2 linked regions of the Tamandua tetradactyla genome follow. The protein of the gene in region 1 interacts with the protein of each later gene in a biochemical or structural test. Links are inferred from orthologs where the notes say so. Each region holds a gene or a part of one and is shown on either strand. Other genes may lie near its edges. The genes, in order: TRDN and CASQ2.

Region 1 (15,742 bases):
GGATAAGAAAGATTAAAAGAAAAAAAGAACAGCGAGGATTAATGTAAAGAGCACTAAACCGGGAGTCAGGACAACTGGATTCTAGTTCAGGACCTTCAATAATGATTTCTTTATATATTGTGGGCAAGTCACTTAGTGTTCCTGAGTCTCAATTTTCTCGTCTGTAAAATGACTGCTTGTGCCAAGTATTTCTGGGATCCTTAAAACTATATGTATCTCCACGTCCCAGACACCTCAAAACTAAGCACACTTTGAAATGTGTTCCACCTATGAATAGGTACTTAATATTTTTGAGTGTGTGATAACAGCATTTTATTTACTTTTTCTTTTCCTTTCCCTTGCTTTTAAACTTTCTTTTTTTAAAAAAAAAGTATGATGCTGCTAGATTAATCCAGTGGAATGTAAATGCAATCAGTGACTAAATCAAACATGCCTGTAGTCCGCAACATTTCCAAAGCAAAAACAAAATTATATACCCTTCTAATTTGAACCAGCTGAAGTAACTGCTGATTTTTATAGTTCCAATGAAATTGTGAGAATTGATTGTCTCTGCAGATTATAATGCTCAACACTTAACTCTACAGAGACACAACCACCCCTAAACCCAGTTTAAAGGGGCTGTAAGTTTGACATTGGCATGCCGCTCTTTCTTCTTTCAGTGGGGTCTCAACCCTCTCCCTCCTAATTCCTACCCCCTACCCTTTTCCCCAGCTAATGGAAATTAGCATCATCATAAGGGTCAAATGGGAGAAACTCTACTGTCTTCAAGATATGCCCTGTGGAAGAGAATTTTGAGACTGTATCCAGGCTCAGTAGGAGAGGATGCTTTGATTAATAAGCAGTGTCTGCAAAGGACTCAAACTTGAAAAATGTGGCCTCTGTATGTGCAATGCACTCTCTAACATAATTTTGTATTCCAAATGTTACTTGCCTTTTAACAGAAAACTTTCTAATTTAATTTCTAAATTATAGGACTGAGCCTACGATTTATATATAACAGGCTTCTCTACTGGAGGAGGCATCATGGGACAAGGGTGCTGTCTCCATTATTCTTCATATCCAAACATCTCTTCTATTTAGTGACCACGCGAACACAGCATGGATTCATATATGGGAAAGCATTGTGCCTTTCACAATTCTAATTTGTTCCCAGCATGAAATACCACTTATATTGGTTTGAAATTCTATTCTAACCTTAGAGCTCACGATTTCTGTGTGGGATGTAAAGTTGACAAAACAAGTACTTTTCTTCCTAATGCAAATCCTGCATGCTTTGGCTTTCAGGTAGTCAGGCTGACACTGTCGGGACATGTAAGAGAGAAAATAACTCCTGCTAAATAAAAGGGAAAGGAGGGAGGAAAGAGGAGTGAGTCTGTTTTGTTAAATGGGATTTTTAGAGACACAAAGCAAATGGTTCTGTTTTGTTTGGAAGGAGATTAAGAATTAAAATAATATACTTTAAATGAGTGACTACAAGTTAGGAGGTCAAGGAAAGCTGACAATCTGCCAGTTGTGACAGCTCTGAATAATATTCAGATTAATTATAATATTGAAAATGGAAAATCCTGACTTCGAATGAATAATGAACAACACAACCAGACAAGGCTCTGAGGTGAAATGTGATTTTCATGAGGATGGGAACATTTAACACTTATACAGCAATTCATATTCTCAAAGTCATATATCAGTGACAACTGTAAAATACAACTTTAATTTGAACTGATGAAATACTCTGCAGAGGTATATTCTGCTGGCATTATACCCCCTTCCCCAAATAAAAGGAGAGAAAAGAGATTTGAATAAACAAAAGCTAGAAAACCTCTTCTAAAAGTGGAAGTCAATGTCTTGATATACACCCATTGGAAATAATTTAATTCTTGGTAAGTACACCTTTGTTCCTCATTCACATGAATATTCATTGGATGTTGCAGCTCTTCATGGGTTTAGATGTTAAGTTACATTCTGAATGTAAAAATATTTGGTTTATAAATATACGCTGTAATCTTTAGGCTCTACTTTAAATAAAAGCCCTTTAGATCATGCATTTTCTCCAAAACTCTCATCTCTAGACTGCTCTTCCCATTTCCATGGTTTAGGTTGAAACTTAGCTAAAATTTTTCTTCACATCTATGCTTTCCCAAAGGTTTTAATCCAAACATCGACACAGCTCCTATGCTCAGTTTACCAACACGCTTGCAGAGAATCCCCAAATGGTCCTGAGGTGGAGACTTTGCTACTCTGATAGTGTTTTAGTGAGACTTCAACGCCAGCCCCAATTCTACACCCTTGTAGTTGAGTGTGACCAGGAATCATCATCGTGATGGAATAGAAGTGGAGGTTATCCGTGTCTCTTCCAGCTTTCTGCTGCTGGAGTAAGTATCACCAGAGCAATCCTGGAAGCCACCCAAGGAGGGCAGGGCTACCATGAGCCTTGATTTCTAATGACCCCACTGGGAATAGCAGCCTGCTGACTTGGAATACTACTGTGGACTGTCAACACAATAGAGAAATAGGCTTTTATTTTGTTTGAAGAGGTATATTTGGAGACCTTTTTGCTTCAGCCTCTTACATTATTCTAACCAATGCAAGTTCAGATTTGTTACTACAAACATGTGGTCTTTTAAATCCAGCTGGCCTCTCAGTAGCACTATGCAATCCTCAGAGGCTGGCTCTCCCCTTACCACTGCAAATTTTATGAAATCTTTAAAATACTCCTCAAACTGTCATTTCCACTTCTAACCCTTGGTTACTTAGCATGCAACATTTGCCTCATGGAAAAAATAATTCCATCAAGTAAGAATTCATTTTATTTTTCCCCCTCTAATATATTCCATTTGTGCCCCTTCTTATTTCCTTTCTTTTAACTTTAACTTTACTAAGAATTTTATTATATTTGAAAGTGTCTAAAAGAGTCTAATTTTAACCTTCCTTCTGCTACAAGCTCTTTCTCTAGTCTTTTTTTCCATTTCCTATATTCTTGACCTCTCCTGCTTCAGTACTGCATTCCTTCCCTCAAAGGATAAAAACACTCAAGGCTCTTCAATCTTTAAAAGAAAATCCTTTTCTTTCCATGAATCCCCTCTAATTCTCACTAATTTCTACCCCTTCCCTTTTCAAACAAGTTCTCAAAAGCATATTTATGCTTATTCCTCATTTCATGAGCTTCCATCTGCCCCACATTCTGTAATCTGGCTTTTGTTCCAAGGCCCCCTTAAAATTGTCTTGAGAAAGATGCGTGACCATTTTATTTTTGTATACAGTCTTTTTGAAAGGTAAACTGATCATTTCATCTTGCTTAAAATGCTTCAGTGTCATCCCAAATCAACATTAAGCCCAAATTCCTTAGTAAGTCTAACAAAACATTTTAGTATCAGGCTCTTTTTTATTCCTTTGTTTATTTTTCCATAGCTTCCTTATAAGTATTCAGTGACCAAATCTTTCCAAACTATTTAAAGAATATGGTGTTTTAAGCCTCCATTACTCTTCCTGAGTGTTCCCTCTACTTGGAAAGTATGTCTTCAATCAACCATTCATTTAAATAACTTCTTATACTTCAAGATCCAGCTCCAATATGCCGGCCTTCTTAAAGCTTTCTTTGTTCCATAAAGCAGGGTTGATTACTCCTTTTCTGCCACTCTATTCTTTGTTCTTCTCTAGAACTTATCATACCTATAGTGTTTGGTCTACATTTTTGACTCTCTTACCATACTATAATCAACAGGAAGTCCAAACCTTTGTTTTACTTATTTTTGTATCATTAGAACTAGCCCAGGGCTTAGGGAAGAGCTTAGTATATATATATATATTGACTGAATAATGGAATTAATAAGTAATTTCTTTATTTATAAATAAGTTCACAAAGTTGATGACGCTATGTAGTATTTGGTAATGATAAACCAGATACAATAGATTGCATTGTTGATAAAACGAATCATGGTAAGAGTAAAGAACAAAATTCTTATTATGTCACTGAGAATTCTTTTTCTATAGTAGCAAAGAGCAATATCCATTACAATGCTTAAGAGAAAAAGAAATTTGTTAATCTAAGAACTGATCAGTAGATAATTAACCTTTTATAAGAAAGGTATTTATAAGAACATCCAAAGGCATAAATCATAAAAGTGGGACACTTTTAATAGCAACCAGGACTATAATAAGTTGAAGGTTGGGTGCGATAGACTGCAGAACAGAATGGAGTAATCTGAATAATGGGCCCTGTAGGGGCTACCAAGTACAGGATAGTGCAGATCATCATATAGAGGGTAAAGCAACGGACAGATGCCAGATCTTCAGACAATGAAATTTATAAGAAAGAAAGGGGCATCCGTTGCTTTGTTAACTGAAGACTAGATTAGTGCAGGCAAATTTATGGGAGAATATTTGACAATGTCAAATGTCTGTGAGGAGAGAAGCCTGATATTGGAGACTCAGCTATTTATGAGTCAGAGTTAAGAGGGGAAAGTTTTTAATTGTGCTGGAATGCCTTGTGTCATTTGAAACGATCTGGATTATACAGTTTCTAAATAATCAGTTGGTAAGCCAAATCTATGGACTGACTTTCAACCTTTGATTAAAGAAGTGAGCACAGGCCACTTCGAGAAAGTAATGAGGGCAGAATGAGATTTTCCATGACACAAATAGAACACAAAACATGTTAAAATGAAGTGAACAGCAGCCCTGAGATGAAATAAGATTAATGAATCTGTACTTCAGTTGAGAATTTTCTTGTGATTTCTGAAGACTATTCTTATCAGGTGGAAGCTTCAGAGGAATTTCTGGGTCATATGATGGGATTTCAAGGTCAAATGAAAGCAAATACATCAAGTGGCCCTCAAGTTCATTTTAAATGGTCCTAGTTTCTTCTATATATCTTCATTCTAAGGTTACCAAAAGCCAATTTTTCATATATATTTATAGCTTTTGCCAAGTTTTACTTCACTTACAAAGTTAAAGTTAAGCATTTCTCTTTTATATATTTCCCCTTGTAAGTTACTTTAAGTCAGGCATCAGATAGTAGCTTACATGTTGTTTGCGTTTTAATTTTTTAATTGTGACACTGGGTTCCCTTTTTCCACCCATTCATTCTGGCTGATTATTTATTTATTTTTCCTATTTAAAATGAACCTGAAAACTAGAACTCATATGGCCAATGATTTCAATTAATTAATTATTTAATATTTTATTTTAAGATCCAATTGAAGAATACTTTTTATTCCAACTGGATATCCCACAAATTGACTTCTACTCTGATTATACTTACTACATTATGCAAAGTCTCTTATTATTTTTCCATTCACTACAAAGAAGATCTTAAGGAGTATCCTAAAATTTCACTTTCTCTCAAATATTTCCAGTCCTTCAGAAAATAGGTGACCGGAGGTAAGTAAGTATTTGTTCTCAATATTTCTCTTCTCACCACAGAAAAAACAAAATGACACTGAACAAGATACTGCAGCGTGGTCTTAAAGCTCCTTTTCATTTCATTTTATTGTTAATATTTTGTGGTGGAAACCAAAAATCCTAAGAACTGTTCTAATTGTCTCCTGGATTCTTTTACATTCGATGTGGGTGGAAATATATTTTTCTTAGCCAAATGCAGTAGATGTCTTGCTGATTGTTTCTTTTTGGTAATAGCTGACAAAGCAACCAGGTTTAAAAAAAATTCTCTAAGGTAGAATATTTTTGTCTACTAACTTGAGTATTTAGAACATAGAGTGAAAATCATAAAGTATGATGATCAGCATCATCAAATTGAAGTGGCATCTTAGCCTAAATGCAGCAGTTAATAGGAGGCCAAACTTTCAGGTTTTACCAGTGATTTATATAGAAAAAGTTTGTTATTACTGTCCCAATTTCTTAAATGTTCCTGTATGTAAAATCATGACCAGTCTAACTGCTGACCCTACAGAAAAGGAAAGCATGAAAATATATGAGATGTTATTACTGAGAAGAGAGAACGCCCATGTTTGGGTTATGTTAGAACCCATTGAACTGGTAATGTTCCTTTTAAATGACTTTCTCAAAAATAAAGGACAAATGATGGTTTATTATTCTCTGTTCTTTGAGTTCCTTAGAAGAATGTAGATTGCTTGGTTTTGGAAATCTTCATAAAGTTCCATTTGTAATTCAAAATATGTACCTTATGAATTGAGTTTCAGATAACTTGAAAAAGTGCTAATAACTCTTCAAAATGGGAAATACCCTAATTTTGCAATGTCTAATAAAATTCATAAACTCATATCACAGATTGTTTTATTTTTGAACTTTTTTATTGGCTGGAATACTTTTTCTCTTCTTCCCTCTGATATGTATAGCATGAGTTTAGTGATTTGGAACTTAAGAGTAACATCAATCATTGGGAATTTAATATTCTTACTCAGTGTTATTTTCAGTTTATATTAAACACGATTTTGAAATTGAGTTTTTTCCCTCTAAGTTAGCTAATTTTATTTAGGCCCTGACCCATGCATATTCTTCATGAATTACACAAGGCATTATTATTTCTTCAGTTTACCACAGTGAAAGACTGAAAGTGAGTCACAGAGTAAGGTATGAAATGCTGCCTTCCTAAAATTGGAAGCAATATGTTGATATTAAATACAGATGCCTTTGGGGACAAAATATGAACTCTGTTCTGAGGCTACCTCCTCCCGATTAGAAAGTGGCCACCAACCCAGTGCCCATAAGGTTCCTGCGAGGATTTTGTATCCTTCATCTAATTGGCAGACTTATTTTTAGTGTTTCTCTTTACCTGCAATTACTAGTGTCTGCAGGAAGGCACCACCTCTTGGAAAAAGTATGGGATTGGTAGTTAAAAGCGTCTGGGCTCAGGCGTAGGTGTAGAACCTGGTATAAAATCCGGAACATTCCCTGGAATCATTCTCTCCTATGAGTTAACAGTCCTTGCTGTTAATCTATTTGTTCAGCTGACATGTAAACACTTGCGATTGTGCTTACTGTGCCTATGAACCTGAGTCAGCAAATAAAAACAGAACCATCGGCATGTGGGAGGTCATTGCCAATGGAAATGCTTGTCACAACCCTCTTCTGAGACTTGGGTTTTAAAACAAACAAAAATTACAACAACAGCAACCCCATGTGTGCCTTTCCTATGATCTATGAAGTACCATACTCATTCAAAAGGTTCTGCTGACAAAAGGCAGTAAGGTAAAGCTGAACCAAACATTCAACTAACAGAAGTTATTAGGCTGAACAGAATGATGAAACAAGAGATGAGAGTAGTCCACCCCTGATTATTCAAGAATTGGCTAGAGTTTGTGATCATCCATGCCCTTTGATTCTCCTTTGCCTTCCCCCCACTGGCTACTGAATATTCCTCTGCTCATTAACCCCTGTGTGAGAGTGGGAAGGTGAAATGCTAATCAGCCAATTTGGCTAATTGTTAGCTGCTAGGATCCCCCCCCCCCTTTTTTTTAAGGTGAGGTAGGGAAAAGTTGAAATCTCTTACTACAGCGTTGCTTGTGGATTTTGAACCTTTACATCACCTGCCCTTTCATTGACTGCATAGATAAATTCAGATATTTTGTTCTCAGTAAGGTACTGAAGAATTAAAAAGCCAGTAATTCATTGGTTCTCAAGTGTCATAACATAACTTCATGTCACATATTTCTCATCAGCCAGTGTTTGGAAAAATCTTAATCTCCTGCAAAATGACTATTTTAGAAAGAAGCTCCTGGATTTAAGGGTTGCATTTTAATTGTAGCCTATAAAAATAACTGCACTTGCTAAGTGGCTTTGTACCAATAGAGAATCAAATAGGAGAAAATTACTTAAGACTACCCCCCCCCCCCCACCTTGCTTCTGGGAGACATTACAGGACCCTCCCCAAACCAAATAAGGGAAGGAGGAATGCACTGAGGCATAGAGCACTAAGAATAAATCTGAACTATCAAGGGATAAGATTACTTTCAACTCCTTATTTCATGTTTTCTGACATAGACCCCAAGATCTGTAATTATCTTTGGAAAGCTGTGGGGGCTTAGACAGTGCTGTTCAGTCCCGTTGCCTTGATTTATTAATTTATTTATTTTTGCCTATCTCTCTCTGGGGCTGGAGAGCTGGTGCATGTGTGGGGTTGTGTGTGTGTGTTCCCCTAGAGTGCCAAAAGGGAAAAAAAAAAAGTGCTGAAGAGTCCTAGGGAGAGGAGGCTATTTTTGTAGGAAGCTGATACTTCAGCCTAAGCCACAAGTGCTGCTTGGAAAGGGCTCAGGTTGTTTCCAGGGGGAGAACTCAGTGGAGAAGAGACAAAGTTCCACAGGACAACGAAGAAGCAGCACAAACAGCCAGGAAAAGGAAGAGCACCCACGTTTCAACACAGAACCCCCTACCAGAGTTCTGGAATCCAAAGGATTCTGCAAAGTGCCACGTAACTGGGACCTGCCACCTGATTTTACTTCCAAAGACCACCATGACCGAGATCACCGCTGAAGGTATTGCTACCATTTGCTGAGAGTGTCGAGTAGGGGAGGAAAATGTGTGAATTGACAGCCTCCTTGACCGTCAATGTAACAATGTAGCAATGTTGTTTCTAGGCAATTGCCATGTTTGTGAGATTACAGAGAGCGGTGGACTGGGGAGCTGAGAGGCTAAGCTGACCGAGAGCGATGTGTTGTGGGAGTGAGAAGAGTTTTCTCTGTGAAATTTTGCATGTGAAAACTGTTCTTTGCTGTGCCAAAGGTCCCGCAGTTATCAGCTGTCACCAGCACCGCTATAAATAGCTACAGTCAGGCAGCACTCTGCCTGATATCTTACCTAGCAAAAAGGGCAAGACTTGTAAGGATGGAGGCCATGATCATTTTAAAACACTGCATTTGACTTTAGACTTAAAAGTGATTTTTGAGCATTTTTGTTTTATGATATTTTTAAATGGAGATCTTAAGTTTGTCTTTTTTTTCCCTTTTCCCACAGAACACAACCATATTAACAGACACATATATATAATATTTAGGTATAATTTAAGATATAAATGCTCCCACACAAATTGTCTGTATTCTATTACTGGTGGAAACCTGGAGCCTAAAGTGGAATTCCACAGAATCATTGTGAATAATGTCTTTTTAAAATAAGGCAATTAAATGTTATTCTCTGATTCTTTTCACAAACTCACTTCTCTTTTCCCTTAATGGTGGATTCTATCTTTTATATTAAAAGAAATATTTTCTGCTTCATAGCTTACTTTGAAAAGATACATGCCATTACGTATAATTTTTATTATTTGTCCATGGGTGCACGGTAGCAATAATTTTTCAGGGATATATATCTCCCTTGAAGAAAAGGACCCTTCGATAAAAAGGAAAACATTTTGAAAATAGAATCTGGTTTCCATTAGGGTAAAAATTGGGGAGGTGGATTTAAAATTTGTTTCTGACAGCTGTAAGAAAATCAGACAGGTGGTGTTGCCGACAGATTCCAAATTCAGTGCTGTGCCAGTGGTTTTTGTTTGTTTTTTTGTTCTTTCCCTTAATGTGGAAGTTGTGGATTTACAGAACAATCAATGCATAAAATACAGGACCGGTTTTAGGCGCTTTGGTGATACATTAGTGTGGACACACTGATGGTAGTGTTGGAGATTTTTCAGTCAATATTTATCAGGAGAATTTCCTTACTTGTACCTTTCAGTGAGAAATTTAGTTTAGCAACCCAAATTACCTTAAAAAATTACTTAACAATATCCACGTGTCAGGTATTTTGCTCCGGGTTTTAAATGTATTTACTTATGCAAGCTTCACAGAAGCCAGTAAATTAGGCATTAGTGTCTCCACTTTGCAGAAAACAAAACCGTGACAGATGATGGGTGACTCGCTCAAGACCACAACATTGCCAAGATTTAAAGCCATGTCCCTTAAATCTAGCTTGTAGTTTTGTTTTTCTTCTTTGCTGTAAGTGGATACCAGGTTTGTTCTTTACCAGTTTTAGTTCAGAATTCTCTAACTAAATATAAACTGCATTTTTCCTACTCCATAGCTATTCTGTGTCATGTTACCTTCAGTTTGACTTAAAGGGGGCTATCTATAAAAACTTCTTGCTTCCCGCTGCACAAGTTATGAGGATACTGATGAGTATTTTCCCCACCTCTGTGCAGACATGGCCTGCCAGCTGGTTCAGAAGATCAGTTGGCCAAAACATTTTTGTCTTGCAGGTGAATTATGCTGTCTATACCTTGCGTTGGACTCAGAAAACTTTTTGCAAGAGAATGCCTGTTTATGATATAGAATGTTCCTTTCTGTCCTGTCCTATTGCAGTCTTAGAGGGCTCCTTGGAGCTTCCCGTGAAAAATAACTGAATTAATAGACGCTGCCTACTCATGGATGATGGTCATTCCTTTCCTACTCCGTGGTCTTAGCAGCTTATGGGTTCTAGGTTACCTGAACATCAATTACCTGCTTTCTCCGTCTTTGGTATGATTTTAGTGATGGTGTTTCTCAAATGACAATTAGACTGCTGACTCAAACAATCTTACATTTTAAGGTTAGTATCATAGTCATTCTCTGTAGTTATCCCAAAATTTCTCATGCACTGCTCAACTCTGCACTGCCAGCTGTGTCTTCATAATTCTTCTCACACTTTTCCCCTTCAGCGACTTGAGCCCTCTTTCAGTCTTTTTTTTTTTTTTTTTTTTACATGGGCAGGCACTGGGAATCGAACCTGGGTCTTCTGGCATGGCAGGCAAGCGCTCTTGCTGCTGAGCCACCGTGGCCCTCCCTCTTTCAGTCTTTTGTAAGAGCTTTAGTTTAGTTCTGAGCCTTAGTTCAGGCTCATTCCTCAGGATGAAATATTCTTTGGGCTCTGAGATCTGGGTGCGAATTCTAACTACACCACATGGAACTGTGTGACCCTAGGCAAATTACATAACCCATCTCAGCCTGCTGTGATTCTTTGTCACCCATTGTGGACATATAACTGAAATGTAAGTTCCTTGACAGTTGTCTCTTTGTGTCTATTGGTTGTCCTTTCCGTCCATTGATCACAAGTCATGCAACCAGATTGAATATTTAAGGCTCTAGTCCAATGTCTTCACCTCAATTTCTGTAAGAGTATATCATATGGATTATACGTTCTCCCATGGTCACTGATAATAGGGCAGGTCTAAGGATCCATTTCTTTTCTCTTGTGGCTTATCCCAGTGCTTTTGCATCTTATAGAACATGACATGGCCATGAGCATGGCTGTGCCCCTCACACAGATTTCCTCTCAATGTTCCAAGCAGGCTTATGACATCTGAAGGAAGAAGGGAAAGACTGCTAAATAGGAAATTTATCTAGCTCCTGCTCCAGGAACTAGAATTAGGGCACAGTTGAACCTCAAAGGATTTTAGAGAAATGGGCCCTTTGATTCTGGCCATGATAAATTAATAAAGATAATACTTACAATGACAATAGCAACAGCTCACAATTATTGAAAAGACGTTAAATTTTAAGCACTGGAATAAACTTGTCATATGCTCATTTAGTCCTCAGGACAGCCATATGAGGTAAATACTCGTATTATTCCTATTTTTAGAATTGGAGCCTGAGGCTTAGGACGGTTAAATAATTTGCCTAAATTCACACAGCTCTCTGCGGTGCAGCTAGGGTTCACGGGCAGATCTCTGAGCCCAAAGTGGGATTGAATATGGCTGTGTGAGAGTGATAATTAGCCTGGTGTCACTTCAGAGGCTGACAAGGACCTACCCTGCGCCCTGGATCAGGGTTGGCCCTTACCGCATTATGTTGGACAAACTAGAGCAGACCCCTGATTGGATTAGACTCAAACAACACTCAGGTTTAGGGCTATAAATAGCCCTCTACCTTCCTTCCAGAGGCCCGGTATTTTCCTGGCAAGCACCAACGTTGGCAACCCTTTCTGAAATCACATGAACTTACAACCACCAATTTCAGCATCTATTTGACAGTTTATATTATTATGCAACACTACCTTCTGAGTGATTTTGATAATGCAACAAAATTTAGTTAATTCTTAATAGCTTTGTGGGAAATGGTGGAGACTTTTAGACAATTGGTAATACGTGCATTGTCTTCAAGTTGTTTGTTACTTAAGATGCAATTAAATTCTTTCACAAGAATATTTATAAAATTGTGGTGTTTTCTGGATCCAAGGACCTCGAAAATATATGAAAACATTGATTTTTGTTAGGAATTCAATTTGGTGGCGATCCTATATATAATTCATTCAGCACTTACTAGTTAAAGGAAATGCTTATCTGAAAGTTTGAAGATTTTTTGGTGGCTTGGAGCTATGTGCCCTAGTTAAACATGTTCTTCAACTGAGTCCGTTCCTGTAGGTATGAAACCCATTGTAAGATGGACCTTCACAGAAAGTTACATCAGTCAGGTCATGGCCCCACTGACTGAGGATGGATCTTGATCTATCACTGAAGACCTTGTAGGGAGGATCACAGAGAGAGCAGGAGCGAGCCAGAGAGAGCAGCCAGAAGCTGAACATCAGCAGGACTTGTAAGGGAAGGGAGAATCCAGAAGAAGCTACCATGTGCATTGCCATATGACCACTGTTGTATGCCCAAAAAAGCCAAGGACCAAGGGTCACCAGGAGCCAGTCCCAGAATCCACGGTCTTCTGGGAGAAAACATCGCCTTGATGACCCTTTGATTTGGGCTTCTTCTAGTCTCAAAACTGTGAGCCAACACATCCCCATTGTTTTAGCCAACTTCACTGCCTGTCATTCTCATTAAATTTTTTGGGGGTTCCAGAGAGGGGATATTGTACTAATGGAACTCTTTCCTTGCTGGAAGTAAGTCCATGAGTCACTGCTTCTGTAGCAATCAAACCTCTGAGAGGTTTAGAGCAAAAATTGAAATTTATTTCACATATTTTTCTGACAGATACTGCAGGAGAGGGTGGCCCATTATTGCTGCCAAGAGAAGCGATTAAGAATTCACAGCAGGGTTCCTTGAAACTGTCTTCCTTTCCCAGCTGCTAAAACAAATACTTTATCATGGGTTGGCTTAAACAACGTGAATTTATTGGCACATGGTTTTGAGACTAGAAGAAGTCCAAAATCAGCACGTCAGCAAGGTGATTCGTCCCACTGAAGCCTGGGGCATCCTGGGTCCGACTGCTTGTGCCCTCTGAGTCCTTGGCTTTTCTGTCACGTGACAATGCACATGGAAATGTCCACTCCTTGGTCTTCTACATATTCTGTTGACTTCCAACTTCTTTTCCTCTCTCGGGCTTTCTCTGTCTCTGCCTGAATTTCCTTCTGCATATAAAGGATCCGGTAACCTGGATTAAAGCCCAACTCTACTCGGTTGGGTAATAACACTTTGACTAAAAATAACATCTTCAAAAGGTCCTTCTTACTATGGGCTCACACCAGGGATAGATTAAGATTAAGAACATGTTTCTTTCTGGGTACATGATTCAATCTACCACAGCAACTGTGCCAAGTAGTTACATCACCTCGGGCGACAGATGGTGAAATTAAGACAATGAAAAAATCCAATTTGCGTATCAGAGTTTATTGAACAAAACCAACAGTGGCTCCTCTGCCCTGACTTGAAATTCACTTCCAGGTTAAGTTCTGATAAAGGAAAGCAATAGATGACATACGGAATATCATTTTCGCTTCCAGGAATATATTTTAAAATTATATTCAGAGGAGGAGGCCCACAATGGTGAAAAGATTTATACCCAGGTCATTTAGGCACATGGTTGAATTTTTCCACTATGCAGCACTAGAGGGCAATGCAAAGACCCAGGGATAGAAGTCTGGAAGCAACTAAAAGGCAAACTGTTGGCCAGACCTAACCGACCATTAAGATGCTAGCTACAACTAACAATTCTGAATGCCAAAAAAGAAAGAAAAAACAAAGACAGAAAGAGTGAAAAAGTCAATGAAAAATAAAAAAAGGAAAAGAAAACAGCCTTGAATTTTCAAGAAATAAAAGGCAGAGGAATATATTAAAAACTTCCCCACAGGGACTCAGTCATCTAGTCTTTGAGAGCCTCTATTATACAGACAATTCAGTTCATTTAAATGTTACCAGAACCAAAATAGATGCCAAAGGAAATTACAGATTTAAAGAAACTCTGGAAAAAGGGTAGCCCATCACAATGTGTAGAGTAATTGGGTCATGATTCAAACAAACCTTTAAAAAATGCCAACGAAATAAATGGAAATTTTACACACTCTTGATATTAGATGACATTAATTAATTATTGTTAGATTTTAGTAGCCTAACTATATTGCGCTTATGTTTTAAAACTACTTATTTGTGGACACATGTTCAAATGCTTATGGATGATATGGCTTGATGTTTGAAACTTCCCTCTACATAATATTCCAAAAAAGGAGAGTAGATGGGGTGTCTTAGGGGCAAGGTTGCCCAGGAACTGATTATTTGGGGGGCTGATGATGGGTATATGGGATTCATTAAGCTATTTTACTTTTATGAATATTTAAACTTCTCCATAATAAAGAGTTAAGAAAAAAGAAAAAAACACAGAGCTGATGTTTTTAGTATGGTGAATTAAATTTTAATAAGGATGTACTTTTCCAGTGAATCCACTGGCTACCAACTTTATTATAGGTACAAATTATTTTCTAAAGGAACAGTCTCTTATCATTGAAAAAGATCCCGAATATGCTTGTATTAGGCAAAGGGGTCCAGAAATGTACTTTAAGTTTATAACAGCAGCCTAGGAAATAATTGCTTTAAAATATGTCCGTTTAAATATGGAATCCACAGGTTAGTTCCATGGCATTTCTCAAAATTATTAGTTATGTTAGAGACATTATATAGCAACAGAAACTTTTTGACATGGTTTATATGAAAGCCTGAGAAGGATTTAAAAACCTAAGAAGTCAATATGATGCAAGGAAAAAGAATTCTAAACAAGAATGTCATGCATATTCACTGGATGTTATGTGCCAAGATCTGTCTCTTAAATCTTACAGAAAACTCTGAAAAGCCAAAATGTAGGATCCCATAAAGCCTACTGATGTGGCTCTGAAACTTCTCGATCTTTTTTCCTATTCAAGTGGAATTTAGAAAAAAAGAGAACAAATGCAGATCGTGGAAAACAGTGGGATATAATCCACTGAAAATCAGAGCAAAAAAGGAGAGCATAGCTGAGATAATGCAGCATTAAAATAGTTAAAGGTAGTGTAATAGAGTAGAAATCACAGAGTTTTAAGCAAAAATCTGGGTTCAGCAGCTAGTTCACTGCTTAACCACAGGCAGCCCAGGGAAGGCAATGGGCTTTGTGGGTGAAGCTGTGAAGTGCTGGGTGGATCCTTGGTTAATTTTGAATAAAAGGGCTGGGGAATTTTGCCCAACTTTCTGCAAGACGGTTCTAGTTGGTAAATTAAGTTTGTGTTCTTTAACTTAAAAAACCAACTAAGGTGCAAAATCTGTAGTGAAAGCAAACAGAAAATATACATTTGTAATGCCAGTCCTAGCTGGATTTCGCTGAGATATTTTTTAAAATTGTGTTTGCTGTTATTTGTAATAATGACTTTTATTTTTCCCTCACCACAAAAGTACATGGTACTATGGAAAATGTTCTGATTATCAGCTTAAATGGTTCTTAATATTTTTTTCTATTTATTTTTGGTCATCAGTGTGACAGTAATTTAAAAAACATGCTACTTTTACAATGCAAAAATGAATTGAGGCTATTCAGCTATTATACTAAAGGCTTAGGAATCCTTTGAGACTTAAAGCTTCCGATGCTGTTTGCATTAATTTTTAATCAGTTAACAA
Region 2 (15,274 bases), on another chromosome or scaffold:
TTGGATCTGTGGGTTTATAGTGTTCAACAAATTTGATAAATTTTGAGTCATTTATTTCTCTGAATATTTTTTTCTGAGCACTCCTTTCTCTTCACTCTTTCAGGGACTCCTGTTATTTTTATGGTATGCCATCTGATATTGCCCCATTTGTTTATTTTTTTCAATTGTTTTTCTGAATGTACTTCATTTTAGGTAGTATTTCCTACTATGTCTTAGGATTCACTGACCTTTTTTTCTCTAATATCGAGCGTGCTTTTAATCCTATCTAAAGTATTTTTTATTTCAGACATTTTATTTTTCATGATTAAAAAAGTTTTACTTGGGTGTAGTAGTGGAGACTTACCCTTGACACTTAGATGCTTAGATAACTTGACTTAGCCCTGCTCAGTATTTAAAAGTCCACACAGTTCTTTAGAAATAGTAAGGCCAAGAATAGAGAATTCAAAATCTATACACCAGGATCATCTGGCTATTAGTTATGTCACCTCAGAAAAGTCACTTGCTTTCTTTGAGTTTCAGGTTTCTCATCTATAAAATGGGAATTTTAATAATATTAACTGAATGTGTAGGAATTTGTTGGAGTTGCTAACAGGTGGAGGAAGTATCTTGGGCCATGAGGCCGCTCCCTTAAACTCTGCAACTTCCCCACTTTGGAAACTGGCTTTGGTTATGAGTCAGAGGATTACCAGTCCGTTTGCTCTCAGAAGGAGTGGCAAAGGAATGTTTCTGGATGTTATAAACTGAGACCACATGTTGCAAGTGCAATACAGTGGCTATTCCTGGAGCATTGCTAAGATGATCTACAGGAGATCAGTCCTGCCGCTGAGAACCCACAGGCTTCAGGTGCTGCTGCATCAGCCTCAGACAGATCCTCTCGGGGCTCCACTGGCAGAGAACTCTACCTACACGACACAATCTCACCAAATGCTGAGCACCTGAGCTACATCAGGCTGGACACGTGCTGAGGATGAGTGACCAGGGGACTTCAGAAAATGATCTGTTACTTGGATGACCCAGCAAACAGGACAGGCAGAAAGAGTCACCAGAGGATCATATTAAAGTGTATATCCAGGAAAGGTAAAAGAACCCGGCATGCTGTGAATATTCGCCCTGGAATAGTTAAAACTAGGGTGGCCTTCCCAATCTAAACTCATCCCATAGGCCATCAGAGCACGAGGCAGAGCTATAAAAAGCGAAGGGTAACGCAGCTGGAGCTAGACAGGCCAAAAGCAGTGTTCATGTACCAAACCAGGAAGGGAAGCATGCCACGCATTCTTTCAATTTTGGGAGCAGGGTCACATTCAAATAAGAGCACAAGGACTGTATCCCCAGTTAATTTCCACCAAGAAGGAGACTCAAGCAGCACTTTGTGGACCCTGTTTCATCAAGCCCAGGGTTTCTCGACCTCAGAACTAGTGACATTTTTGGATCAGACGATTGATTCCTTGTTGTGAGGAGCTTTCTGGCGCCTTGTGGGGTTTTTAGCAGCATCTTTTGCCTCTATCTACCAGACGCCAGGAGCACCTACCGCCCACCCCTGAACGGTGACAATAAAAAAAAAATGTGGGCGGGCCGCGGTGGCTCAGCGGGCAAAGTGCTTGCCTGCCATGCCGGAGGACCTCGGTTCGATTCCCGGCCCCAGCCCATGTAAAAAACAAAAACAAACAAACAAAATACAATAAAACAAGAAAATGTTTAAAGATGTTTCCCTTTCTTCCTCTCTTCCTTCCTTCCATCCTTCCTTCCTTCTCTCTGTCTTTCCTTCCCTTCCTCCCTCTCTCTTTAAAAAAAAAAAAAAAAAAAAAAAAAAAATGTGTCCAGACATTGTCAAATGTCTCCTGGGGTGGGGGCACCAATCACCCTCAGTTGAGGCTCCCAAGCCTCAGAAGACCTGATAACCCATTCATTAATGTTTCCTGAGATCTGAGCTTATTGAAAATATGGGGACCACGGCTAAAAATCCAATACTTCTGTTGGTTTACTGAGAGCTGTGAAGTCAAAAGTCATTAATTATTTTTTAAAAAATACATAAGCCCTGAGCCCTTAGCAGAGGTGTGCAGTGCAGTAGGATGGAGCATGCGCTCTAGAGCCAGACCGTCCACACTCACATCCCAGCTTCACCGTTTGTGAATGGGGTGACATTGGGCCAGGTAACTTCATCTTTTTGTGCCTCAATTTCCTTATCTGTCAAAGGCAGACAGAGAGTCTTCCTCACACGGCGTTTGTGAGGATATATGTCAGTTGCTACAAGTAAAGTGCTCAGCACAGCCCTTGGCACATGCGGGCCTCCAGCTGATCCATTCAGCCCTTCTCAGTTGGAGGTCTTGAGAGGGGAAATGACTTGCTTAAATAAATGGTTGTCCCAGCTCATAAATATTATGATATTTATGTCATAAATATAAAAGAGTCTGCTCAACTATACTGTGATGAACTGTTCTCTCATATGTGTTTGTTGCAGACAATGGGCTACATGAAGATGCAAATTATCTTTACCTCTAGAACAGCTAAGCTCTGAGGACGGTCAGCTTTCCCGCATTGTTGGAGGAGCTTTCCCTGACTAGCCTCCGTGTTGGTTTCTTATTACCTCTGCAACAACTTACTGCCAACTTAGTGGTCTACAACAACTGACATTTGTTATTTCACAGTCATGGGGATCAGAAATTGAAGTTGGTCTGCAAGGTGGCCTCCCTTCTGGGGTCTTCAGGGGACAATCGATTCCTTGCCTTTCCCAGCTGCTGGAGACTGCTGAGCACTTTGGGCTTGAGACCCCTCAGCGTTCCAACCTCTGCTGTAATCATCACAGCTCCTTCTCTCACTCTGCTCCTCCTGCCCCCTCTTACAAGGAGCTTTGTGATTGCACTGGACCTCCCAGAAAACTCTCCCTATTTCAAGAGCCCCGACCTAACCACCAGCCCAGAGCTCCTTTTGCCATGTAAGGTAACACACTCACAGGTGCCAACATTAGGATCTGGTCGTCTTCCCCCTTGGGGCCATCATTCTGCCCGCCATGCCCTGCATTTGCACACTTTGATATAACCTCTATAGCCAGCGCTTTTCCTGTCCTTCAATTTCATTGCATGAGAAGTCTATATTCCCACCTCTGGATCCAGGATAAATTAACCCAAAACTTTCCATGTATCTGTTCTTATCTACATTTTCTGCTGAACTAAATCTCCTCATTTCCTTTTGTTTTTAAAGCTGTTCCTTTTGTTCTCTCCTGCCAAAATGCCTGGTTTCTTTATCAGACCTGTTTTTAATGACATTACTCTAGTATTTTTTCTTTCCAGATGATGATTGAGAAGCTAATAAAAAATGATGCCAGGTAACATAACAGTGATAGGAAAAAAAATGGCTGGTATCCCTTTATCTTCTTGTCATGCAAATTCTATGTAATCTGAATTTCTCCATTTTGCTTGCCCCTGAGGGGGACAGAGAAGGCTCCCCCTCCTTGAGCTGAGCAGACTGGGTCCTGACAAGAGCAGACAGATGGGTCCAAATCCAGTCTCTGCTACTTACCAGCTGTGTGACTGGGGCAGATGGTTTGACCATGCTGAACCTGTTTCCTCATTCATGAAATGGAAGAAATAATATGCAGCTTGATGGGATTTAAATGAGACAGTGTGTAAAATGTAGTGAACCCAGGGACTGGTTCATGGTAAGCATAAAAAACATTAGTTCTCTTCCATGTTTTCTCCAGCCCACACAAAGCATAATCCCACACACGATGGCGGTGGCTCAATGCAAGACTAAAATCCTGGGCGTATCCCTGAGTAGTCACACATGGCAGGCGGCCATCTACTATTCTGAAGCAATTCCTGAATTCATAAGCCTCCTGGGAAAGCCATCTAGCTGGTGGCTCCCGGCAGGGGGAGTAGATGCTGGAGCCAGCCTGCTAGGCAGCGGCTCTGCCACTACCAACCATGTCACCTTAGGCCAATTACCCAACTTCTCTGTGCCTCAGTTTACCCCTGTGGTAAAAGGGGATAATAAAATTGCCTAATAGGGCTGTTAAGAAGAATGAATGAGTTAAGTTCAATTCAATTAAGCACTTTAAATAAAGCCTGGCACAAAGTAAGTGCTGTTTAAGTATTTATTAAACAGAAAGCCGATTTATTTACTGACTATTTAATGGGAACTACTATGGGCTAAGTCCTGGGCTGGTTGTGTGGGGTCACTGAGGGACAGAAGCTTGCCCTGCTCTGATAAGCTCGGTCTACATAGGGAAAAAACTCTACATTCTACATTCTGAGCATCCCCGAGGAAGTACCATTTGTCTAAATCTGGAATTGTTATTGGTAGAGCTTTGGGATCCGTTTTTTACTTAATATTGGTCCTTTTCTGCGTGTTTTGATTTGGAAGTATCCTGGTTGGGGAGGCGGAGGAGGCTCTGGGGGGCACCTGGTATTCAGAGTTCAGAGGAGAGGAGGGCCTTGAGGTTGCTAAGAAGCTAAGAGACCTGTCCTGAACTGACCAGAGGAAGCCTAAAGCCATGCATCCCAGGGCTCTAGAAAAGCATTTCTGGAACCTTCTCTAACCGGTCGACAGTCTGAACTTGGCCTGGCTAGTTGCCCGGCAGAAGTGCTGTAAGAGGTAAAGGGACCTAATGAAGAAAGATGCCATATTCTGCTTTGTCCACTGGGTGGAGCATTTTAGCCAAAGAAGGACCTCTGTGATGCAGTCGCGTCCTAGGAGGAGCTGCTCAGCTTGGAGAACTGGCAAGCTTGGACGTGTTCAAAGGGCACACCCTTCAAAACCCTCCTCTGCAAATAAGACACCAAGCTTCCTCAAGCCTGAGGGCTGTGCCAAGGCCTATTCTAGTAAAACAAAATTCTCTATGGGGGTAACAAACTTTCAAACTTTTAAGTCCAGAATGGAGCCTTAGGACATCAGCGGTTCTGACTCCCTTTTTCACAAGTTGGAAATGTGAGGGCAGAAGAGGTGAGTGAACGGGGTAGCACAGGGAGGCTGTGCCAGCGTCAGCCCAGGGGCCGGGTCTCCTGGCCTCAAAGCCGACCAGGTGGATTCCTGTGCTTTAATGCTCCACGGATCGGTCTGAGCACATGCGTTTTATCAAAAAAATAAGAGTCCAAGTGCGCAAGCCACTCTTGACAGGAAGAAACAGTGAAATCCCCTCGGAAGCAGAAGCACCCGCCACTTCTCGCTGGGACCTGCGTCTCTAAGCAGCTTGCTCTCAGCCTTCTCCTTTGCATCCTTTGCATCTCAGCTGCAAAATCCCCGCCTCACAGAGGCTTTCCTCAACCACCACCCAAGAGGGCCGCCCACCCGCTGCCCCTCAGCCTCCCCTCCCCTGCCCAACTGGTCGTGGGAATGCGTTCCTCAACTTGACATCGTCTCTCACACACACACGGATTTTCTGTTTGTCTTATTATTGTTTTTCTCCCCTTTAGGGCATAAGTTCGAAGTTTGCAATGTAGGCCTGGTGTTCCCAGAAGAGCCTCTGGTACCTAGAAGATGCTCAATACATATTTGTTTACTTGATAAGCAAATGAAAGATTGTGCCTGCATATCCTGGTTCATATGTAAATTGGATTTTTTGGTTTTTTTTTTTTGTGATGGTCAAATTAAATAATACACACAAAATCGTTCTGCTCATCAAAGATAAATAGATGAAAGGGGCTAGGCTCAATTAAGGGACCTCAGGGGGTGCCGACTCACTGAGTGAGGACTGGAAATTATTAGCAAATCAAGGGGCCTATATCATACGTCACGATAAAAATGAACATTCATTTGTATGATTTGTTTTTGTTTTATACCTTCTTGCTCAACAGAACAACACAAAAAAAGTCCTGATAGTGGCACATAAAGACACATACGCTTCGGCAAGACGACAAAAATTGGAAGCACATGACACACGGGCTCGGGCAACAGCTAAAACTAGAATGAGACAACAATTCACAAGACGCAGCGAAAGATGACTCAAAAATGTGTGAAGCTTTCACTGTTCACACACAAAAAGTGGCAAGCAATAAGGCAAAGAAAAGACAAAAACCAGAAAATAAAAGGCCACCAGAGAGAAGGCTGGTACCTAGGAAGTTGACCATGGAAAACTATCTCCTGGTAAGAATAGGGCACCCACTTAGACTTTCACATCTACCGGTGGACGCACAGAGGGAATCCTGGTCACAGCATATGGCAGTGGCCAGACCATCTCAAGGCTGGGCCACAGGGCCCCATCTAGGGTCTGGACACAGGACATTGCCACACGTGGACTGTTTCGTGTTGTTCTTAATGCACTTTTTTGGTTGTAAGCTAGACTTGGAGATTAAACCAAGTCTTAAAAAATTATGCCTTTCCCTGGTTGTTTTCTTCAGTTGTAAGTCAGTAGGAAATTTATAGACTCTGACTTTAAATATCTCCTAGGTTTTCAGTAATAGCAACAACAACAACAAAAAATTTAAATATTAAGAAAGGTGGAGCACATTCTAAAATAACCCAATGAGATTGAGACAGCTGGGAACAGTTTTGGGAAGCTGACCTTGAAAAGACAAGACATATCGTTCTTTCACTTGAAATTTTTTTTTTCCTTAAATTTTCTGGAGAAAGCTAAGATCTTGCATGCTTGCCGGTGACCTAGAAAGCTCATTGCACCTCAGGATGGCTCTTCTTGGCTCCATCTTTAAAAAATATAGTCTACACCATTAGAAAGAACTAAATGCATCAAGGCTTCAGGTGATGGACTCTTCAAATTTCCTGGGACCTGAAAATGTCCTGGGAGGCCAACCCCTTATCAGCCTAATCTCAGCATAAGGCCTTCTGGCTGCAGTGGAGGGTCCTTGCCTCACTTAAGTAGGCCTCTGAGCTTCTCTTCTTCTGTTGCCTACAAAACCTCTGAGTGACAGATACTCTCTTTCTCCAAAGGTGATTTATCAACTGAAGGAAGATTCATAAGATAGCCATAGCCAACTCTAAACAGCAAAAAGACACAGCTGAGCAATTATTGGCCAGGAGATGAGATGGTCAGGGACCCACTTAAGAAAAGGGGTGTGTGCAGGGGAAATTGCCCAGACTTGGAGGCAAAGCAACCAGGAGTACCAGGTCTAGAGGTGGAGTTGGATTCTCATGGTGGCAGTTAGTAACCCTGCAAACTTAGACAAGTTTCTAAATCTCACTGAATCTGTTACTTCATCTGCAAAGCAAGCACTAATCACTTCAGTCCCAACTGCCTGCTGGACTCAAGGAGAAATGAACAGAAAAGGCTTCACAAACTGTAAATATTAGATACTACCAAGTAATTACTATAATAAACAATATTTCACCATCGCCAGTGAGAATGAAATATACTACTGTTTTTGAGCACCTACTTTGTTATAAACAGTATAACTATTTATAACATATAATAGTATAACCATAGTATAACTGTTGTGTAATGGAGCACATTCTACCATTCATATGCTCCATTACACAATAGTTACAATTTCTCCCATTTTATATAGGAGATAACAAGGAATCAGAGAAGGTGATTAACCCTCCAAAGTTCATTCAGCTACTAAAAGATAGAGCGGAAATTTGCACTATGATCTGTTCGGCTTTGAGATTCTCTATACCACTTGTCTCTAATGAAGAGGAAAGGGGCAAAAATGACCACGTTAGGGGTTAAAGTTAAAAAAGCAGTATATCAGGGATGGTAGCAGAAAAGCTAGAAGGTTTCTGAACGAGGCTGTCAAAGTTTTATTCCATTTAAAAATAGGGAGGATTCTTTACCGGCATAGAGTGCAGCTGTGGGCGCCGGTGGCAGGGAGGCAGCGGCCCTGGGCAGGCTGGGACCCCCTGGAGCCCTTTATGTGCTGGACTCGTGGAAAAAGGTGTCCTTACGTTCCCCCTGCAGACTGGCACAGCCGCGTGGGCAGCACGCAGCACAGCCGTCAGGAAGGTTTCTAAGTAAAGAGGACTCAAGGCTGGGAACGGCAGGTACAGATCATACCGTCCACCTCGGGGCTCCCTTTTGTTCTCATGTCAGCCGCAAGCAGGTAGGGGACAGGCTGAATGCCTGCGTCAAGTAATTTAGCCATTCAATAATATGTCAGTGGCATGGCGTCTGTTCTCACCTCTCCTTTGGCTTATTGGCATCACAGACCCTCATCTCTCTCTCCTCTCCTTTTCTCTTCTTCCCTGTCCAGTTTATGTCTCTCCTGTGACCTTTCCAGCCCCCTTAGCGCTCGTGTACTTACTTCACAAGCTCTTCTTTTCCCTCCGCCTCCTCCCGCTCCGCCACTCTGACAGACTGTATCCGAGATTCCCTCAACAGTGTCCTATCTATCTTTTTTTTTAATTCGTTGCATGATTTATTTTTAGCCTGAAACAACTGCCTCCTAAAAATGGAGTTCCTAATGAGCCAGGGGCTGGGCAGAGCTATGTAAGGTATCTGGGGCTTGGCCTCCCAGCTCCCGCACGCCTGCCTCCCATCCTACACGCGCATGTGTGCACGAGCCTCTTTTCTCTTTGTCCTGAGCCCACGATTACAGAGTTGGCTGGACCCAAGGAGGTGAAGAGTCAATTCTCAGATTTGGGGAGGGCCAAGGGGAGAGAGACCCAGCCTCGTTCTGCTCCCCGCCCGGCTCGACAGGGACTTGTTGAACTGTCCTCCGTCCTCTCGGCGCCCGTATTTCTGAGACAGAAAAACAACTTTTCCCAAATGACGAGAACTCACCTGTTTGTGGCGGGGGTCTTCTTGCTGGCCTGTTGCAGGGCGGAAGAGGGTCTGAGCTTCCCCACCTACGACGGGAAGGACCGAGTGGGGAGTCTGACCGAGAAGAACTTCAAGCAGATTTCGAAGAAGTATGACTTGTTGTGCCTCTACTACCACGAGTCCATGTCTTCGGATAAGGTCGCACAGAAACAGTTCCAGCTGAAGGAAATCGTTCTGGAGGTGAGCAGAGGGGCGCGGTTGCCGCATTGCCTGAGTGGACGTGGGCGCGGGAGAGGCATATGTCTTTGGTAAGGAGCGGTCAGGCATTGGGATAGAAGCATGAGCGTGCAGAGAATATATCCCAAAGTCTGTAAATCTGAGAATATTCTTATTGCAAAACTGGGATGTGTCAACCAGGAGAGGTGGGTCCCACTCTTAAAAATGGAGATAATGAAAAGTGTTCCATTGTGAGTGGATCTAATTTAAAGTCTTTCACACTGCAGCCCTCTTGCTTTGACAAGAGCTTGCCCCCTGCCCGCCCCCCCCCCCCCCCCCATTGCTAGTTTTTCTGAGAAGATTAGAATTCTGGGCTGAAATAAAATTGAGGGATTCTTTGTGGATTTCATTCAGTGTGCTCACTCTCCACTCTTCACCCTTAAATCCCCCCATGATCCTGGAGAAACAGGAGTCGTCTGACCTTGCATTCGTTTTTTCATGGCTATTGGGGGTTAGCGCTAAATGTTCTTCCTGTCTCTTGATCTGGTTTTGGTCATCATTATACACATAGCTGGGTGAAGAGGTTGGCTGCACATTCATTAATGGGAATTTTCTTTTTCTCTCTCAGAAAGTTCTTGATGTGAGTTTAGGGCAGATGTTGAAGTCAGTTCCTATTCTATCTACAATACATGGCCTGGTTATCACTTGACCCGGAGGCCCACTTTCTTAACCTTTGAGAATGACTCAGGAACTGTCCCTGCAGCTCTTCCTGGACAGTTTCAAGATCACTTACATTTTATGATCACCTGTGGGTGCCAAGAATTCTAATAGGCACCAGGATCCCTCATCTGTCCCTGTGCCCAGCCCAGTCCAGGCAGAGACTCTGCAAAGGGCTCCTTGAACCTTACAGCCATCTATTCACCAGCACGAAGAGCTCAGGCTAATCAAATACCTTGATTAACAGAAAAATCATATTAAATTTACGTGGATTTGGAGTCTCAGAAAAAAATCTTGACCATAATAAAATCCAGGCAAACTAGAGCGAACACATTAAAATGTCTTTGATGATTTTAAAAGCACTTCAGGGGTGGGCCACAATGGCTCAGCAGGCAGGGTTCTCGCCTGCCATGCTGGAGATGCGGGTTCGATTCCTGGTGCCTGCCCATGTGAAAAAAAAAAAAAGCACTTCAGAATCCTAGGTGTCTTTGATGATCATACAAGTACCTATGTTTAAAAGATTTGCAGATGGACGTGTGGTCATTGCAGAGAAGCTTGGATAACAAAATGCTAAGCATTTAAAAAATGTCACCAGGATGGTTACATTTTTCCTCAAGCTCCGCCTTGGGGGCTGGATGTGAAAGTTCGGTTCCCTCTGTAGGTTGCAAGAGAAAGCAGGGACACTTTATAGGTCTTTGCAATAAATAAATGGGAAAACCTCATATCCATCTTAAACCACAATACTCAATTATTGAAAGGTATTTACATGAAAAGTTAACTGAAGACATTAGGACTTTATCCCATATACTCATTACTGTCCAGTTAGTCAAGGTTTCAAAACTATGGATTTGGATGGCCAATATAATGGCACAATTACCCAGTCTCTGATTCCCTGTCATATGTATATATCCAACCCAAAGACTAAGTTCTGGGCCCCGAGCAAAATCATGGGAGGAGATGTTCCCCTGAGCTCACCAAGCCTTCAGACAGTCTAAGAACACTTTTCCCTTGTGGGTGCCTGAGAGTTCAGTACAGGACATTGTCCAGTGCCCCACAGGCTCCTAAAGTTGGAATGGAGAATCATTAATGGGAAAAGAACAGGGAATTTGGAGCCAGGAGATCTGGACTTAAGTTCTGGCTCTGCCTCTTCTAGGCACATGGTCTAGACTACTTAATTTCTCTGAACCTTATTTTTTAAATCTACAAATAAGATGATATGATAACTATCATACAGACTTATTGGATGATTAAATAGTAACTGACATTTATTGAAGGCTCACTATGCACAGGCTCTGTTTTAAGCACTTTAGATAATAGCTGGTTTAATTCTTACAAGAATTTTTGTGGAGTACATAGAAATACCATCTCCATTTTACACTTGGGTAAACTGAGGCACAGAGAGACTGCATTGCCCATGGTCACACATCCAGTGCTGGTGAAGGCATTCTTAGCTCCAACAGACATTGCGCTACTCCTGGAATCAAATGAGACACTGTGCAAGAGGCTGCTGGGGGCCCTGTTTAGGGGCATTGTGAGAGTCGTGATTAAATAGAGTCCCTCAGCTCTGGACACAATGATACCAGCACTAAGAGGACAGAGAAGCAGAGCGCTCTGGAGGTACTGCTCCAGCAACGTCCATACCAGGGAGGAAGCATGGGCAGGGGGGTATTTGTCCAGCTGCCTGTCCAAGGTACAAGCTCTGTTTCTTAGAATCCAGGACATAAATGGCTCCTGGCATCCCATGGGTAGAGAGAGAGTATGGGTATGAGCCATGGTGAAAAACAACAATTTTCTTCATGGTGAAAAACAACAATTTTCATCCTCTTACTCCCCTGGGCCCTGCACTAAGAAAACTATTCTACCGGTTCCAGGGGCTGTGGTTGTGCGGTGGGTACAGACAGAAGAGCTGCTATCCCCGGTGCACAGCCGCAGCCAAGGTTGGGGCTCCTCTCCTAGTCGTTGAGGGAGGTGGCTTTTGACAACTGTTTTTATCGTAACACACTGTGACCCAGTGCACATGCACACACACTCACACATACACACATACACAACAAAAGTTTCATTGGGCAAGACTCATCATTATTACGTGGGGAATGCTAGATTAAAAAAAATTCTTTTCTATTTTATTCAGTTCTGTTCTATATTGGTTTCAACCCATCAGATTGGTTTCACTCTCCAATGATGATTTGCCACCTTCAGTTTGAAAAACATTGCTTTAGGGGTTAGAAGTTCCTAGCGAGGGCGATCCCATCCCGATAAAAATCCAAAGACATCTATGGTCAGTTAGGTCTCTATTATCTCATCTAAGGGACGTTAACGAAAAGACCCAGACAGAGCCCCGTCCACAGTACACGGAGGTCACTGTCACACTAGGAGGCCTCGACATCCTATCCAGTTAGTCATACATTTATTTGTCAGGCATTTACCTAATGCTAGGCCTTGGGGCAGATGGTGTGGATACAGGGAAAATGAGGGTCCAGTGGCTCGTAGCCTAATATGGAAGAAGATGCACAAACAAAAAGCTATGGTGCAAAGGGGTCACTGTAATAGCAGAGCTATTTATAAGATTCTCTGGGAGTGCAGAGGAAAGAGGCAGTGAGGTGGAAGGCATGTCAGGGAAGAGCTGATCTGTGAACCTGAGTAGGAATTTACCAGGCAAGAAAGCAAGGGGAGGGGAGGGAACTGCATGAGCAGAGATTCTGAGACCTCTAAAATGTTTATGCTTTCCCACTAATTAGCATCTTCTCCAAATTTAGCCATGAGGGCCTTTTTCCTCTAGGATAGGATATGAGCCCTCTGTGGGGAATAGTACCATACTATACTATACTATACTGCACTGTACTATACTATACCATACTATACTATACTGTACTGTACTGTACCGTACCGTACCGTACCATACCATACCATACCAGGCTGTCATTCACACCTCCACGTGACTGAGTTTGAATTCTGTGGTGAGTTCTGTGGACAGGTGGAAGGGGATAAGGGAGAAGATGTAAGTTCACTAAAACTTTAGCAGAAAAGGGGCATGTATGTTAGCTCCAGGAGGCACAAAACTCACACTTTGCTTTTCGATTTGGCCTGGATCTGTCTCGGGGGCTGGTTTATGGTATACGGTCTTCTCCAAATGTTCTATAAATGCTGGTGGAATGGATGATTGAGGGTTAGAGCTCATCAAAGCCTTGGGAATCATCTGGTTTGTTCTGACCCCACCCTCCACCCCATCTCATTGATATGGTCTGTGATGGCATGACTTGCCTGAGATTACATCACTGGTAATCATGATCCCTGCTTGAGCAACCTTCAGCCACAAAATAGTGCATTCTCATTTAGAAATTTTAGAATATATGGACAGGAATAAGGAGGGGAATAAAAATAACCCTCCAGAAATAAACATGTTTAATGTTCCAATAGATTTCTTTCCAGTATTTTTTTCTACACATAACATACATTTTTCAATTGGGATTATAGCATTTATACAGCTTTGCTTCCTGCTTTTTTTCATTTCCATTGTATTGTAGGTGCTCCTATGCCATGACATAGTCTTATTTTCTTTGCATATGTGATTTTAATGCTAGGATGTTATTCTAGTGGCTGACCATACATATTTTCAAAATAGTTTCTCTATTTTTGGGTATTGGCACAATTCCTCAGATTTATTGCATGTCTCTGCTTATTTAGATTTTCATTGTTGTTTTATTGAACATTTCTTTGATGAACTAACTACATTTTTTTTTCATAAATTATTTGCCATTTACATTTTTTCTTGAATGAGTTATTTTTCCATGTCTTTCTCCCATTTTTCAATCAGGGTGTCAACACAGATTATAAAAGGAGTTGCAATTTTGCATGCCATCTCCTATAGCTTCAGCTAAGACAGTAAATTTAGTCACACCACAGTGGCCAAATCCTATTAGCAAAACCAGCCTCAGAGATACAAGATGAGGTATGGGCAATGAATTCAATTCCTCTTTTCTCCTTTGTTTCCTGTTTCCTCTTTCCCTTTGACATGAGCCACTGCTTGTGTCAGGTTCTATGACTACTGTCAGAGAAAGTTTTCCAACATCACCAATGTTTTCTCTGGTTGAATGTTTGAAAGATGGTGTATTCTGAAATGAGTTTCCAAATCTGATAGACCTGGGTTCAATTCCCAAGTAATTCCCGAGTTACATCCAGTTTCTTTATTTGTAAAGAGGAGCTAATAGTTGTGAAGACTAAATGAGGTAGCGTGGTAAGAGCATAGCATTTAACATGTAGAAGGAACTCAACAAATTTGGCCCCTTCCCATCCCACACTCCCCATTTCAGTCTGGATTTTAGATACCACCCAGCCTATCCCCTCCTTTTCCCTTTTCTTCTAGAGATCATTTTATGGATGATGCAGATGCCATCTTGCTTATTCATAGCCAGCTGTGCCCCTTAGAGGGGGAGTAAACTTCTCCACAATCACTGCTTCTTAACGCCCCCAGCCTCAGCTCTTCAGTCCTCCAAGGTTTTGCTCAGTTTGTGCTTGGTACGTTCAACCATCTCATTAACACCATTTTTAAAATTAGGTCCCTTCCATATTTTCAATCACAGTTCAGTCTCACTTCCTTTGAGAAGTTTTTCTCTTTTTCTTCAGGTTCCTTCTAACTTACTTTCTCCCAATGGAGTCATGTGTGTGATTCCCCTCCCCACCCAGAGATTGGACGCCTCCTGAAGGCAACCAGAATTTAAAGCAAACTTGGTGATAGGAGAAGTGAAAAAAAACACCAAAAAACTCAGACTGAATCAAGTGCACATTGGGCAAGTGTCCACTAACTGCGTGTAGAGCAAAAATACAGCTGAATGAATGAACTGGTGATGTGAAAAGGTGGCAGGAAGCTACCTTGATGTCAGAAGGACACTGAGCTGGCTGCACATAAATAATGTTGCATCCACATTATCAGTTGCTGAGATCTCTGGAAATGGCATCACCACTCTCCAGAACATCTAAGCAGGAGATGGGGGATCAATAACTCCTTCCACTTCCCTCCCACCTTCACACAGATCTTATCTTTAACTCCAAGGCTCATATTCTTTCCTCAGCAGCTATCTTCCTCTAGGAAATCAGCATTCCAACCAGAAAAAGAAGGCAAGAAAAAGAGGAAGGTATCTCCATATTCAGTTTCACACTTACATAGAAATAATTTCATGGCAACTTAAGCCATCTCCAGAAGAAAAGGGGAAAGGAGGAATGCATGGCCTTCAGAACTCAGTTTTAGAATCTCTAGCAATATACATCACATTTCACATTAAAAATTAATGCTGCTTACTATGTTTGTGTGTTTGTGGGGTTGGAAGGTGGGAAACAATTAAATAGACCAACTTGTTGCCAATATATATGTTAGATTAAGGAAAGTTACAAAGTTTTTTTTTTCAGGATCAAGTTGGTGAGTGTTTTATAACATGAAAATACTATTGTGAATCCATGAATAGACACATGCATTCTTTCATTCATTCATCAAATATTCATTGCTCTTTGCTAACACTCAATAATTTTAGCATGAATAAACAATGGAACAAAGCTTTCCACATTGTGACCAGAAACAGCATTATCTGCTTAGATGATGCTTTATAATGTTTACTAGGGCAGATGAGGCAGTTCCTTGGACTGGCAAGCAATCTGGGTCCTTGGCACAAAAATAGCCACATCATAGTTGCATGCCAGGCT

Evidence for each region.
Region 2: the proteins of TRDN (region 1) and CASQ2 form a complex in vitro, tested with the Homo sapiens proteins (3 studies listed by BioGRID). The link is inferred for Tamandua tetradactyla from reciprocal best matches to the Homo sapiens genes TRDN and CASQ2.

What each region holds. Positions count from the first base shown.
Region 1 is NC_135331.1:184,772,568-184,788,309, reverse strand, and holds the start of TRDN (triadin), read left to right. Parts: upstream 1-8,165; 5' UTR 8,166-8,428; coding exon 8,429-8,450; intron 8,451-15,742. UniProt on the Homo sapiens protein: Contributes to the regulation of lumenal Ca2+ release via the sarcoplasmic reticulum calcium release channels RYR1 and RYR2, a key step in triggering skeletal and heart muscle contraction.
Region 2 is NC_135337.1:5,377,791-5,393,064, forward strand, and holds the start of CASQ2 (calsequestrin-2), read left to right. Parts: upstream 1-8,531; 5' UTR 8,532-8,653; coding exon 8,654-8,887; intron 8,888-15,274. UniProt on the Homo sapiens protein: Calsequestrin is a high-capacity, moderate affinity, calcium-binding protein and thus acts as an internal calcium store in muscle. Calcium ions are bound by clusters of acidic residues at the protein surface, especially at the interface between subunits.